4 linked regions of the Caenorhabditis elegans genome follow. The protein of the gene in region 1 purifies or fractionates together with the protein of each later gene. This does not show direct contact. Each region holds a gene or a part of one and is shown on either strand. Other genes may lie near its edges.

Region 1 (3,548 bases):
AATGAGTAGGAGTACAGAACGCTAAAAAACAATAATTTGAATAGGACTGCCCTTTTTTATTTTTTGGCAAAAAATGGTTTTTATTTTGGTTGTTTTAAAAAATTTTAATTTTTTAGACATGTTTGAAGCGAAAAAAAAAGTTTTATTTTTGGTTTTTATTTTTTTTATTGAAAAAATTGAATTTTCGAATTTTGGACTAAAATCTACGCTTTTTTTTCATATTTTACAAATCTTCTTAAGCAAAATATGTTTTAATGGTTTTCAATGATTTTTTCTAAAAGTTCAAAATAAATCGAAAATCGACTTTTTTTGGGTTTTATGGTCACAAATTCCAATTTGTAGTTCTTGGTCCAAAATCAAAATCTGTTTTTTTGTTTTTTGGTAAGACTTTTTTGGTCCTACTTCACTCCATAATAGTTGACTTACGCTTTCGTCTTGAATCGTGACCAATTTTGACGGAAGTTTCGATACAGTGCAACCTAAACGTATTATAATTGAACACACTTCAATCAAAATATTGTTTACCTGTTTAAACAAAAAACTGCTCCAATTTCTGTTCAGCATATCTTTGTTTGATAAGACTTACTTTATTGCATTCGAGTAAATCTAAAAGAAATGATTGAAAAATGATTTTGATCAGTACGGTCAGTGAAAAAAAAACGATCAGAGTGATTGATCTATGCTATAGTCAGTTCACGTTAGAGATGTATAAAATAGATAGTTTTTGGCAGAAACCAACGAGAAAACAGGCATGTTCTGTAACCACGGATCTTTCAATTTAATTTTATTCTTGATGAGAATCAATAGAAAACTGGGAAGGTTTTTACAGGAAATACGGTTATTGGGTATGATAATTTGAAAACAAGAAAAGTTAGATTGGTTTTTTAAGATTGGCATGAACTTGAAAAGCTGAGTAAAGATATCGAATCATGGAATCACAGGAAAATGAGAGCAGCCACCACATAATTATTAGTCGAAATCTGGGGGAGGTGCAGCTGCAGAAGGGTACGATGGTGGTGGTAAAAGAGCATCTCCATCAATTGGTGGGCAAAGTGACATCATATGACTGCCGATGGGAAATAATTTCTCACGCAAAGAGAGCATGGCGCCAGTGTTCGTGTTGGTTCCAGCGTGAACAATGAAATAATACTTGTCAATAGAATGAACAGCAATTTGGTGGGACTCGTACAATGCAAAGGTTGTTTGATGACCTCCTAAAACATAACTGAGTAGAAATAAAAATGAGAAGTCAATAACTAACCCATGTCGAGTTTGTGAATTTGAGGGATTGTTGTCACGTGACTGACAATCAGCTGTTGCCTGAATCTAGAATTATCCAATGTCGATGGAAGACCTGAAAAATGGTTATATTTTTAAAGTTTATATTAATTATTGGTTTTATTGATGAAAATACTTACCGATATTCAGAATGAGACCTCCATCGTGATCAGTGATGAAGATTGCGCAGACCCCCTCATAGGTAAGCATAAGCTCTTCGAGCTCTTGTTGGACGTTCATCATTTTACTGAAACAATGTCTTTTTTGTTTTTTTTTTTAACTACAGATACCACTAAAATAATCAGCAACATAAGGAAAATTCTTGAATTGATAAAATAAGAGTAAAAATCTGAAATCGGTTTTGGTGGCCGAGTTTTGTCCCGAGGGCCGATAAAAATGGCCGAGGAACCCGAGAAAACCGCGCCGCACTTTGCGTTTTCACGGGCGATAGACTCCACCCTTTTGAACAGAAAATACTATTTTTTGTGCTTTTCAGCTGTTTTAGCTTATTTTTCAGTTCATTCCGTTACTTAAAAATTGAAAACAACTCAAAATAGTTATTCTATGTTTCTTTGTTTGTGAACGATTCAATTTTCCTGCTAATTAAGCATATTTACTTTTTATTTTCAAAAATCGTTTTCCTGTTAATCTAAATAAGGTTAAAACATCACAATTTTTATAGGTATGTCTGGAGCCGCTAAGAGGGTAGCGACGTCTTCCGTGAACTGGTCGAAGCTCGGTAAGTTGTTTAAGTCACAAGTTACGGTATTTTACGTATGTAATAAATAACTTCTCCACAATTTAGTGTTTTAACTTTTAATTTCAGCCGAGCGTTTGGTCCCGGAACACGCCGCAGAACTCACCCGCGTGAAGGGAGTCAGTGGAACTTTCCAATCCGCTGTCAGCCAGCTCCCGGCCGATCTTCCCAAGATCGACTTTGCTGCTTTGAAGAAGGCCCTCCCGGCTCATTCGGCAGTTCTCGATTCTCTTCAAAAGCAGTATGAATCTGTAAAGATCCCATACGGAGAGGTTCCAGCCGAGTATTTGAAGGAAGTAGACCAATGGGTTGATTACAACAACGCCCGTATTAAGCTTCATGAGGTCAAGGTCGCTGATGGACTTCAGGAGGCCAAGAAGGTTATTACTTTTATTTCGAAAAGATTTTTAATATTCTTTTTCCAGGTGGAGGAAAAGTGGGCCAAGGCTCCACCAGTTGAACATTTCGATCGTCAGCATTTCGTCGAGTATTTCCCAGCTCATTTCTATGATCTTCGCTACCAGAACAGAATTCCTGATCCATGCAACATCGGACTCAACGAGACTCCAGAAATTGAGAACAGATTCAAGGACTACAAGGTGGAGAAATTTACCAAATTATAGTCATATTTATTAATTTTCAGGTTCTTCGACGTGCCGACAAGGTTGACGACCATTAAACGATTTATCATGATGTACCGTTCAGTAGACAACTCTCGTTCTTCCTTATCGCTCTCCTACCATTTTTAAGACCATTTTGATTTGTTTTGTAGCCGTTTGTTTTATAATTTCGTCGAATTTTTTTATGTGCCTGGGAGCTTATGCAGTCGATACCCCCTTCTTCAGATTATGTATTTCATAAGAGTGATGGCAAGATAAAGAACTTTCGCATGTTTCCTTTATATTATATGAGAATTTCTTTGCAATTCGCGCGAAAAGAATCTGTTGGCATCATTGATTACCTTCGATGATCGGATTGAAGATATCAAAACAAGTTTTTTCTTTTCATGTTAAAACCAACTAATGAAGTTGAACGAATATTTCCATAGTTTCAATTAATGTCAGTGTATTATGTACATTGAATTCGGATTCCATGTAAAGATCAAGAATTGGCGTGAAGTGCACTATTGTTCTAAATAAGTGATAGATCACATTTAATCAAGAGGCGCCAGACGCGTTGTCTCTTATCTTGATTCGATAAATATGAAACAAACAGACGGAGGCACGACAGGCCTGACTTGTTATTCTTTTCCGAAATTTTTTTGCAGTTTCTTGATTCTTCTACATTTAAGAATTTCAGGGTTACCTAAGTATTTCTGATGCAAATGCGTCAACAAACGGTTAGTTTTATTATTTTCTAAAGTTTTTTTAAAAACTAAATTCAGGGACGACGGCGGCGTCAGCCTTCGGAAACATCTAATGGTTCTTTGGCTTCCAGTAGACGCTCCTCATTTGCACAAAATGGTAATTCGTCAAGGAAAAGTTCAGAAATGAGAGGGTATAGAAAAAAGCTT
Region 2 (3,464 bases), on another chromosome or scaffold:
GAGAGAGGTAATCAGATATAGAAAATATTAGAAGAGATTGAGAGAAACTAAGAAAGGGCGGCCGAAAATTGGTGGTTAGGTAATGATATACTAGTATAGTAGATAAAAACATTTTTGTACAGTAGAAACTGAAACTGAACTTAATAAATCGTGATAGGGAAGATTTTTCAAACTTTGCCGCTTGATGTTGCTCCCTGCCGGCCATTAAATATTACAAAACTCACGGGAAAGAACCAGTCAAGCCACATCGCTGTCCACTGTTTCTGTAGTGTTTAATTGATTTTTTCTTCGAACAACATAAACAATCAGAAATCACAAATTTAATATTTAGCAGACCCAAGGTGGGTATGCTATTATTCAGCATACAAGTGTGTAGTGTTTCTGTAGTGTTTAATTGATTTTTTTTTCAAAAAAAAAACATAAACAATCACAAATCACAAATATGGAAAATCGAAACTGACTACAAAAAAAAAGGAATCAGAAAATCGTGAAGATGCAGCTTTACATATATATTTATTTTCAATGGCAGAAGAAACTAACCGTAAAATACAGAAAAAATACAAAACACAATAAAAATAATAAAACAAGAAATTCAACTAGGCACTTTGAATCATCTTCTTCTCTTATCTGTAGATGCGCATCTATTTCGACTCCCACTGTGGCTTTCTCTTCTCGGCAAAAGCGGTCATTCCTTCCTGAAAAACATCTTTTAAGGGGAATTTATCAGGTTTTCGAGAAAAATACTAAACTAGGTAGGAAACTGATTATTTCATTTTAAGAGAAGGTGGAATAAAAACTGGAACAATATTTTGATCACTGTATTTATTTGGCAGTTTTTCTACCGTAATAATAAATAAGTTTAAATAATTTATCTACAAAACTAGATTGCAATTTAAAAATTCATTTTGATAATTTACCTTTCTATCCTTGGTGGCAAAAGTGGCATGGAAAAGTCGTCTTTCGAAGTGAAGTCCCTCTTGAAGAGTAAGCTCATAAGCTTTGTTAACGGCCTCCTTTGCCATTTGAACAATCAGTGGAGATTGATCAGCGATTTTCTCTCCAAGTTTCACAGCTTCCCCGACAACCTGATCAGCTGGGAAAATCTTGCTCACAATACCGTGCTCCTTAGCTTCTTGAGCAGTCACGTGGTTTCCAGTAAGGCACACCTCCATGGCAAATGATTTTCCGGCGGCGCGAGCCCAACGCTGAGTACCTCCTGAATCATCGACGTTTAAAAATTTGATTTTAAAATATTGTCAATTACCTGCTCCTGGAATAGTTCCAATGTTAATTTCAGGTTGTCCAAAACGAGCCTTCTCTCCGGCATAGATAATATCACACATCATTGCCAACTCGTTTCCACCTCCCAATGCAAATCCGTTCACTGCAGCAATAACTGGCTTTTTCACATCACTGACAGCGGTCCAGTTGGAGAGGAAGCTTCCAGAAAATGTGGTGGCGAACTCGTTATTGGTCTGAAATCCGATAATTTTTAAAAAATTGGATTATACGCTGACTAACCATCTCCTTGATATCAGCTCCAGCGGCAAAAGCTCTCTCACTTCCAGTAATCACAATTGCTCCGACAGACTTATCAGTATCCAAAACTTCGAGAGCATCAGCCAATTCAGTCATAAGCTGAGCGCACAAAGCATTCAAAGCTTTTGGTCTATTCAGCTTGATAAGAGCAACATTTTGCTTCTCTCCAACTTTCTCGATCTTGATCATTTCAGGAGCTTTGCTTGAAAATGCGGCGACTTGCATTTGGTTGACATTTGCACACAATTTGGCATTGCGAACCAGCATCGACGAGAAGCGCATCATCTTGATTTCTGAAATTTCAGAACTTGAGTTGGAAAATGTTGATAACTAAGAAATGAGAAGAAAATTGGAAGTATTCAAGAAAAAGAAGACAATTGTAAAAGATGCAAAAGTGAACGAAACAGATATGAAAATAGACGCAGACAGTGAGAGATATACGAACGATAGAGCACACAGTGTGAACTGTGATCTATGAACTAATCAACAATAAAAACAAGAAAACACTGCTTTTTAAAGGTTTTTCTTGTTGTTATACAACGTGTCTAAACGTGCCAATTTTTACGTTTTTTCGTCAAGAAGACTCTAATTTGGAACAATTATAATTGTTATTAAATAACACAGACGCAAAATTTAGATTTTTGCCAAAAGAAACCATATCCGGTCTCGACACGACAAATTTGTGTGAAATACAAAAAGATGTGCGCATTTGAAGAGTACTATAATTGCAATTTACATAGCAATTTTTTAGATCCAAATAATTGTTTTTTATTTTCTAAACACATGAAAAATAAAATTCCGAAGATTTAGACCAATTTGGTATGCTGAATAATTAGCAGACCAATTTGGTATGCTAATTATTTATTGGTAAAATTTTACAACAAAAAGGGGAAAGCAGAGACAACTGCGCGAGATAACAGAGAGTGGGTTACTGTACTACTTAAAGGAGCATTCCTTTTTTCACGGCTTCAAAATATTTCGTTTGTGGCGAGAGAGGATACGGTATCTTTGAGTTACTGCATAATAAAAAATCAAATAATTTCGGAGAACAACCCATAAAAATTAAATTAAAACAAAAAGTATAAAAAGTAAGAATTAGAAATCTTATTCACAACTATTAAAACATTTCACATGAATAAATAAATAAATACAAAACTCCGATGAGTATTCTGAGAAACTTTCAAATAAAATTATGTAAATAAATTATAAATTTCGTTCTTTGGTAGTAGATCAACAATCACAATTGTCGTTTGACTAGTCTTTCGAATCTTTTAAGCTTATCAATTGATGACGTCACTGCTTGATCAGACAATCCATCTGCTGCCATTGATACAACTGCATTGAATGCTTCAGATACAGATGCTGCACTTCCAACAGTTGGTAGTGCTCCACCAATCCGAGAAGTTAGACTATTCGATTGTTGAATTGGATCCGAGCCAGATGCACCGATTTTCAATCGATAAGCGTTGAGAACTGCCGAATGCTCTTGTCGTTTAACTCCTTTCATTTCAAGAACTTTTTGCATTTCTGCTGCATCCGACGCTGGTAGAAGTTTAATATATTGTTCAACAAATTCATCGACAGTCTCCAAACTGCACATTACTACCTGAAAAATTATTTATTTTGAATTTCGCGTTTTTGGAAAAATGGAAAACAACAAATTAAAATTTTGGTCTTTCTAAACTTATTTTGACTTTCGAATTTCCGGAAAATTCACAATTTTTTTTTAAATTAAAACCCATGTTTAAAAACCGAATTTTGTTTTTTGATTTTTTGATTTTTCGATCTCTTTAAAAAATCTAAAATGTCTCACTTTCAAAATCATTTCAGCTTTTGTCAGAGCTGCATTCACACTGGTAACGTATGCCGTTGGTGGTTTTGAGTTGATAATACTATCAATTGATGGTACACTGAGCAAAAATGTT
Region 3 (3,456 bases), on another chromosome or scaffold:
AGAAATTGCAAAAACCCCCTAAAAAAGTATGCAAAAAACGAATGGTTTAGCACCCCGCGGGTGCAATAAACGTTCCAGTATAAAAGATTCCCAGTTTTTGTCCGAAAATCCATCATCCACCACTTCCTCAACATGTTCCGTCGTGTCTTCGTCCTCATCGCTGTAAGTTTCAATTTCTTCAGGATTTGTGTAAACCTAGAACATTCCAGATCCTTCTCCAAATCTTCATCGCCTCTGCCGATCACGTTACCATCAAGGCTCCAGTTGCCACGTGCAAGGTTGATAAGGACTGATTATTCTTTGTTTGAATAAATGAGAGCATTCGAAACTTTTTTAAAAAATCTGAATGAGGACTCTAAAGCAGACAAATCTGACCACGTGGCTGCAAATATTCGAGAATCGATTGAAAATCCCACTACTAGGAATCCGTACTAGAGCCTTTTCGAAGGAGAAATACTGTTTTCAAGGGAAAAACGACAGAAAATTCGAGTGAAAGCAACCTCTGAAACAGCTTCTGTTCTCCCCCAACCTCGAAAATCAAAACCTTTTTTATTAAAGGTAACAACAATTTTATTGAATCAACAATACTTATTCCTCGCTGTCAACGTTGACGTTGGTGAGTCCGTGGAAGTTGGTGCATGGAACGTAGGTGCAGAGGGTGTAGAGCTTTTGAGCGGAGTCCTCATCCTCGTTACGGCGGCGGGAGAGACGGACACGAACTCTGTATGGAACGTTCTTGATTCCCTTGGACCAGATGAACTTGTTGAGCTTGGTGTCGACACGCACATCGTTGGTCTTCATCTGGATCTTGGCGAACTTCTTGATCTCGTCGATGGCACGTGGAGCACGCTTCTTGGATCCGCTGAAAACGCATTATTGGATAAGAACTTCGCAAAATCATCATTTTTACCTCTGATTTCCCGCTATATTTCAACCGAATTTGAGGATGCCCCTGAGATCTCCGTCCGATTCTCGAATGAGAAACGAACGGCGTTTCTGGAGAGAGCCACTCACCAGAAAACGAGGCGGGTAAGCTCCGTTAGTCCGGCCACCGCGGTTCGGGCTAGAACCTGCTCATTAAAGAGCTGCGATGACAGGCGTGGGCCAACACACCGCTTCCAGGTGGAGCACGTGTTAGCATGTGAGCAGGAAATTTGAGCGAAAGATGGAAAATAGTGTAAACTTACATTCCTCTGATGCGGGCGTGGATGTGAATGGTGTATTCACGGGTGACGACCTCGTTGATGGTGCTGCGGGACTTCTTCTCGTTCTTTGGAGCCATCGCGACTTGACTGGATTACCTGAAAAATCTTAATTTTAAAATTAAACTAGAAACTGAGAACACAAGAATTATAAGGAAAAATGCATAAAAATCATAGTAGGAGCTTTATTTCAGAGAGAAAACATGATAATTATACGATTTACACATTGAAAAAATATTTTTTAAATGAAAAAAAATAAAAATTTACGAAAAAATCACAAATTTCCATTGGAAAAGCGTAAAAATTTTTAGGATAAAAATGGAAAACTCCATTGCAATTCCCTAATCGTGGCGAGACCCATCGAGATAAATCCATGCGCCTTTAAGAAAGTTCAACGGAGCATACTTGCATTATTTTTCTTTTGTGTTTATTTTCGCCGAGATGACTCACAAAACGGGACGATTTGTACAAACAAAGACCAAATTTTTTATTTCCAAATGCTAAATTGCTGATTTCCGAAATCGGCGTGTTAGAATTACAAAGTAAATAGTGGAAAATTGCCGGAAAACTACTGGAAAAGTGAGTTACAACTTCTTCTTGACTTCAAAAAAAAATCGCTTTGTTTTCAGATGATAATTTACACAACACCAACAGCTTTAATACTCGAAGAACAAGGAGAACGTGTGGAATTTGATCGCAGAAATGGGAAAGTACTGGAAAAACCGGAAGAATCGCTGGAAATCCTCGATCAAGATGTGGTTTTGTGCGGAAACGTCGAGTTTTTGATCGGAAAAATATCGTTTGACGAGCAGCATTTTCTGTTTTTCGTCGTCGATAGTTCGGTGGTAGCGTGTTATAGAGGAACGTCAGCCGAGAGCTCCCATTCAATCCGGAGAATCGAGCGGGTTATCGCGATAAATGTGAAATCCGATGGCTCCGTGATAAAATCTCAAATCACCCCGGGCTCCGGCACTAAATTAAAGCAAGGAACCGAGAAAATAATGAAGTTTTTCGCGGAAAAAGTGACAAAAGCCGAGCCCCGTCCGGCTTTACTGGATGATGTGCTCAAGCTGTTCAATGATTCGAAGGATTTCTACTTTTGTCGAAGCCGTGACGTCACAATATCCTCACAAAAGTATTTCGAGAAGCGTGAGGCTCATACGTCGGAGGATTCGTTTTTTTGGAATAAGAGGATGGTGGGAAACCTGGGAGAAGCCAAAATTTCCGATAAATTCACATGCCCAATTATGCAAGGATATGTGGCCACAAGTCAGCTGGAAATTACGGATCAGGTATTAAAAAATCCCACAAATTAATTAAATAATTAGATTATTGAATAAATTTCCAGATAAACGCCTATCTGACAATCACAATAATTTCCCGACGATCTACCCGCCGCGCGGGAGCCCGCTACCTACGACGTGGCATCGACGAGGCTTCCAACGTGGCAAACTTCGTGGAAACTGAGCTCATTTTGAACATTTTCGAGCATGAGCTCAGTTTTGTGCAGTGCCGCGGCTCGATTCCCGTATTCTGGTCTCAGCGTGGCTTCAAGTATCGCCCACCGCTAATTATCAATAGATCTGTGGAGGAGACGCATGGCGTGTTCACGGAGCATTTTAAACGGCTTAAAGCCCACTACGACACTCCTCTTGTGGCGGTAAGCCTCGTGGATCAACGTGGCAGAGAGCTTCCGCTGGCTCAGAGGTTTCTGGAGCATTGTGTGAAGGCCGATGATAATGACGTCACGTTTTTCTCGTTTGATTTGCATCAGCATTGTAGAGGGCTTAATTTTCAAAAAGTAAAATTTTTTGATTGAAAATAAAATTCGAATAAAATTGAATTGAGTGGGGCTTCACACTACAAACTACAAAATTTTGAGAGCCTCACCCATATGTTTTTTCTGATTTTCCAGTAAAAAAACTCACATTTTTTCTAAAATCAAGTTTTTTTGACAGAAAAAATAACAAATTTTGCTGGAAAAATCGATTTTTGTTCTAAAAACCTGAAACTTTTCATTATAGAAGGCTCTATTTTCAAAAAGTAAGCGTTGTAGTTTGAGTGAGGCTAACACTACAAACTACACAGATTTTGGGAGCCTCACCCAAAGTTTTTCTAGAGTGTCTTTGAAACAGAAAATCGTATTTATAAACTAAAAAAATGAGTATTAAATCGTTTTCCGAGTTAAAAACTTCCGAAAATCACTGAAAATATTGGTTGAGGCTCACACTACAAACTACAGAATCTTGTAGCC
Region 4 (2,895 bases), on another chromosome or scaffold:
TCCTCAGCTCGTTCACGCTATGATCATGCAGTCTTCGATACCTCCAAATATTAGGCAAAATGGTCCACAATTCAGTCATCCTTCTGGACCTCACAGTCCAGGAAACAGAGTTCAGCGTAAACATTCTGGAATGCCATCTACACGGACAATATATGATCTTGCCCTTGATTCTTTCGCTGGTTACATGTCTTACAAGGAACGTGAATGGCTCATTAGAATCCAATTTATTCAGTGTAAGGGTTCTGGTGATCCGCAAGTCGATGATTATTACTATGTGGTAGGCTTAAATATTCAGAGTGTTTTATTAAAATTAACATTTTAAAGACATGGCGTGATAAGCAAATAGCGAACGGGTGGACTGCCGAAACCAAGTTGGAAGAAGCTACTAAAGAGAAGAAAGAAAAGTCGTCCGAGTCACAGAAGGATTATCTTGAACGTATCAGTCGAATGAATTATCGAGAGATGCAGAAAGAGAGGGCTCGTGAACGTGACAAGGAACGACAAAGAGAACGTCAAGAACGAATTGATCGTGGAGAAGACAAAAAGTTGCGGCAGACACTTTCAGACAAATTTGCAACAAGTTTGGGTTTGCCATCAAAATCTTCTACCCACAACCCGCGCCATGTTCTCGATATGAAGGCTCAAGTAGAAAGCGTGGACAATCAAACAAAGAAGTTGTCGGACGAAGAAAGAAAAATCGCCGTTGCGAAGAAACTTCGTACGATGCTTCTACGTTTAGAAGGAGCATTGAACATTCTGATGGAGGTTGATGAGCTTCGACGATCATCGCTGCCTGAAAAGTCGCAGTTTAAAGACTTGAGCAGGTGTGTATATACTGTTTCTGAATATTTTTTTGTAAAATCTTATTATTTCAGCGATGAGAAAGACCAAGAAGTTGAGAAGCGTACGACAGTTATCATCAACGAATTAATGGGGGATGACTTGTCTAAACTCATGCAAATGTCCAAAGGAAGAGCAGTTATTACGAGAACTCTTAAAGTTGTTGAACCAAGAGACCAAGCAAGAATTATTCTTGCATTGATGACGGCTGGTGGACTTGTGAGCAAGAAGATGTATGGAGAGATCGTTCTGGACATTCTCCCAGTTGTTTATCAGAAAGTCTCAAATCTTCATCCCGACCAATTCAAGTATCTTGTTGGAGCTCTTAACTTGGATACTCTCAAGAGGCAACTTTTGGATAGTAACATGGTAACGATAATTTTTAGAAATTAATTAATTTTTTATTTTTGTTTTCAGTTCATCAGGGACATGATGATGACGTTGTTCTTTGTCAGTGTCAAGAATAATCAACAATTGGTGGAGTGGGCCAAAGCTACGAAGTTCTCCAGCTTAAAAATGCCTTCAAGTGCTCCACTCAGTATCTGGAGAAAGGCTCTCAGCGTCATTAGCGACAGCGAGATCAAAGAATTTGCCGATGATATCAAGTACTCAGGAATTGTCGATTGCCATGATGTCGCTCAACTAATCGAGCAATCACTCTAATTTATTTTAAACATCCTAACCAGAGAGATGACCTTATTGTGACATTTTCCTCTCAACCCCTAATTTTTTGCATTTCCCAAAATTGAACTCACCCCCAATGATCCCCCATACGGCCCTACTGAATCATTCCGTCCGTTTAGTATCACATTATCACTTTGTCTGTGAAACTTGATGTTGGTTCTTGTCACATGCTAACTTATCCCAAGCTCGATATTCGATATCATTATATATTGCGTAATATACGTGTCTAATATTCTCTCCTAATATTACTTTATTTAATATTGTATTAGGTAAAAAACATATATTGTAATCCCACCTCACAATTCTTATTTTGCCAAAGAAATATTCATAAATATTATTATTTATTCATTTATTTTAATGATGTCTTTGTCGAGTAATCGGTTTTCTTTCCGGTATTATTTTCTAAATTCTGTTCTCAATGTCAAAAATTGTTTCCAATCATTCCGTTTTAGATGGCAGACACCGTTCGTGGAATTTGGCAATCAATCGTCCAAACCAAGAGACTCTACCTCAACCCACACGAGCATTTCGGACGTGCCAACATCTGCCGTGCCGCCCTCTTGAGCTACGTTGGGATGTACTACATGTTCAAGTGGAACCAGAACAGAAAGGTAAAGCGTTTCCCTATTGTTATTCTCAAAAAAAATTGTTCATTTTCAGGCCGAAATTGCCCGCGCCGAGAGAAAAGCTGCCAAGGCCATCGCCAACGTCGCTGCTGCCGCCCCAGCTCATCACTAATTCAGTCGGATGCACCTAGATTTGGTTTAATTTTCTTTTATTGGACAATAGTTTTGTCCAGATTTGTCGGTTTATGTAATGCTATGTTCTTTTGAATAAACTACCCGATTCGAAAACGTTCGGCAAAATTATACAATATTCTGTGGATAAAATAAGGCAACTAGTTTATATTCAGGTTTTTCAGAAATTCTAGGATGTTCTGTTGAGAAATTGGAAAAAAAAAAATAATTTCACTTAGTGAGAAAATAATTTCCGAGTTTCAGGATCTTTAAACAATTCAACCATACTTTTGCTCACACGCTTAATATCGTCCTTCTTCATCTGATCATATGCTCTGAAATTTAAAAGTTAGTAAAAGGTGTCAAATGACAAATCCCGTACTTTCTGATGCAGAATGATCCATACTGACATTTATCTTTGTTATTCCAGATATTCGATAAACCAAGGAAGGAACCTTCCTGAAAAAAAGATGGCGATGAATTTAGGGTTCCGGTGAAAGTTCCAAGTTTAAGACATTTTTGTTATGGAAACTCGCTTACTATTTTATTGGTGAGGTCGTGTTTAGAGAGGGCCTTGATCATTGCAGCCTCTTTTATTTGTGCTACCGTACTCGACACGCCAACAACTAAATAA

What was found.
Region 2: the proteins of atp-5 (region 1) and ech-6 purify together in Caenorhabditis elegans (affinity purification with mass spectrometry, with the first as the bait; one large-scale study listed by BioGRID). This does not show direct contact.
Region 3: the proteins of atp-5 (region 1) and rpl-31 fractionate together in Caenorhabditis elegans (co-fractionation; one large-scale study listed by BioGRID). This does not show direct contact.
Region 4: the proteins of atp-5 (region 1) and F44E5.1 fractionate together in Caenorhabditis elegans (co-fractionation; one large-scale study listed by BioGRID). This does not show direct contact.

Annotation. Positions count from the first base shown.
Region 1 is NC_003283.11:11,122,280-11,125,827, reverse strand, and holds atp-5 (ATP synthase subunit d, mitochondrial), read left to right. Parts: upstream 1-1,960; 5' UTR 1,961-1,962; coding exon 1,963-2,017; intron 2,018-2,104; coding exon 2,105-2,415; intron 2,416-2,460; coding exon 2,461-2,634; intron 2,635-2,678; coding exon 2,679-2,714; 3' UTR 2,715-2,927; downstream 2,928-3,548. Other genes in the region: strt-7 (Phosphatidylcholine transfer protein), read right to left, coding at 1-21, 427-479, 526-564; lmtr-3 (Late endosomal/lysosomal adaptor and MAPK and MTOR activator 5), read right to left, coding at 970-1,214, 1,262-1,354, 1,419-1,518; mboa-2 (O-acyltransferase), read left to right, coding at 3,354-3,374, 3,420-3,532.
Region 2 is NC_003281.10:9,751,052-9,754,515, forward strand, and holds ech-6 (putative enoyl-CoA hydratase, mitochondrial), read right to left. Parts: upstream 1,833-3,464; 5' UTR 1,825-1,832; coding exon 1,522-1,824; intron 1,476-1,521; coding exon 1,265-1,475; intron 1,217-1,264; coding exon 918-1,216; intron 696-917; coding exon 642-695; 3' UTR 501-641; downstream 1-500. Other genes in the region: vps-53 (Vacuolar protein sorting-associated protein 53 homolog), read right to left, coding at 2,777-3,145, 3,353-3,464.
Region 3 is NC_003279.8:13,652,404-13,655,859, forward strand, and holds rpl-31 (Large ribosomal subunit protein eL31), read right to left. Parts: upstream 1,302-3,456; 5' UTR 1,283-1,301; coding exon 1,188-1,282; intron 863-1,187; coding exon 589-862; 3' UTR 546-588; downstream 1-545. Other genes in the region: sac-2 (SAC domain-containing protein), read left to right, coding at 1,832-2,494, 2,551-3,003.
Region 4 is NC_003280.10:11,773,641-11,776,535, reverse strand, and holds F44E5.1 (ATP synthase subunit e, mitochondrial), read left to right. Parts: upstream 1-1,976; coding exon 1,977-2,135; intron 2,136-2,184; coding exon 2,185-2,262; 3' UTR 2,263-2,374; downstream 2,375-2,895. Other genes in the region: patr-1 (Protein PAT1 homolog 1), read left to right, coding at 1-277, 325-824, 876-1,209, 1,258-1,503; F44E5.15 (N-acetyltransferase domain-containing protein), read right to left, coding at 2,497-2,596, 2,644-2,720, 2,802-2,887.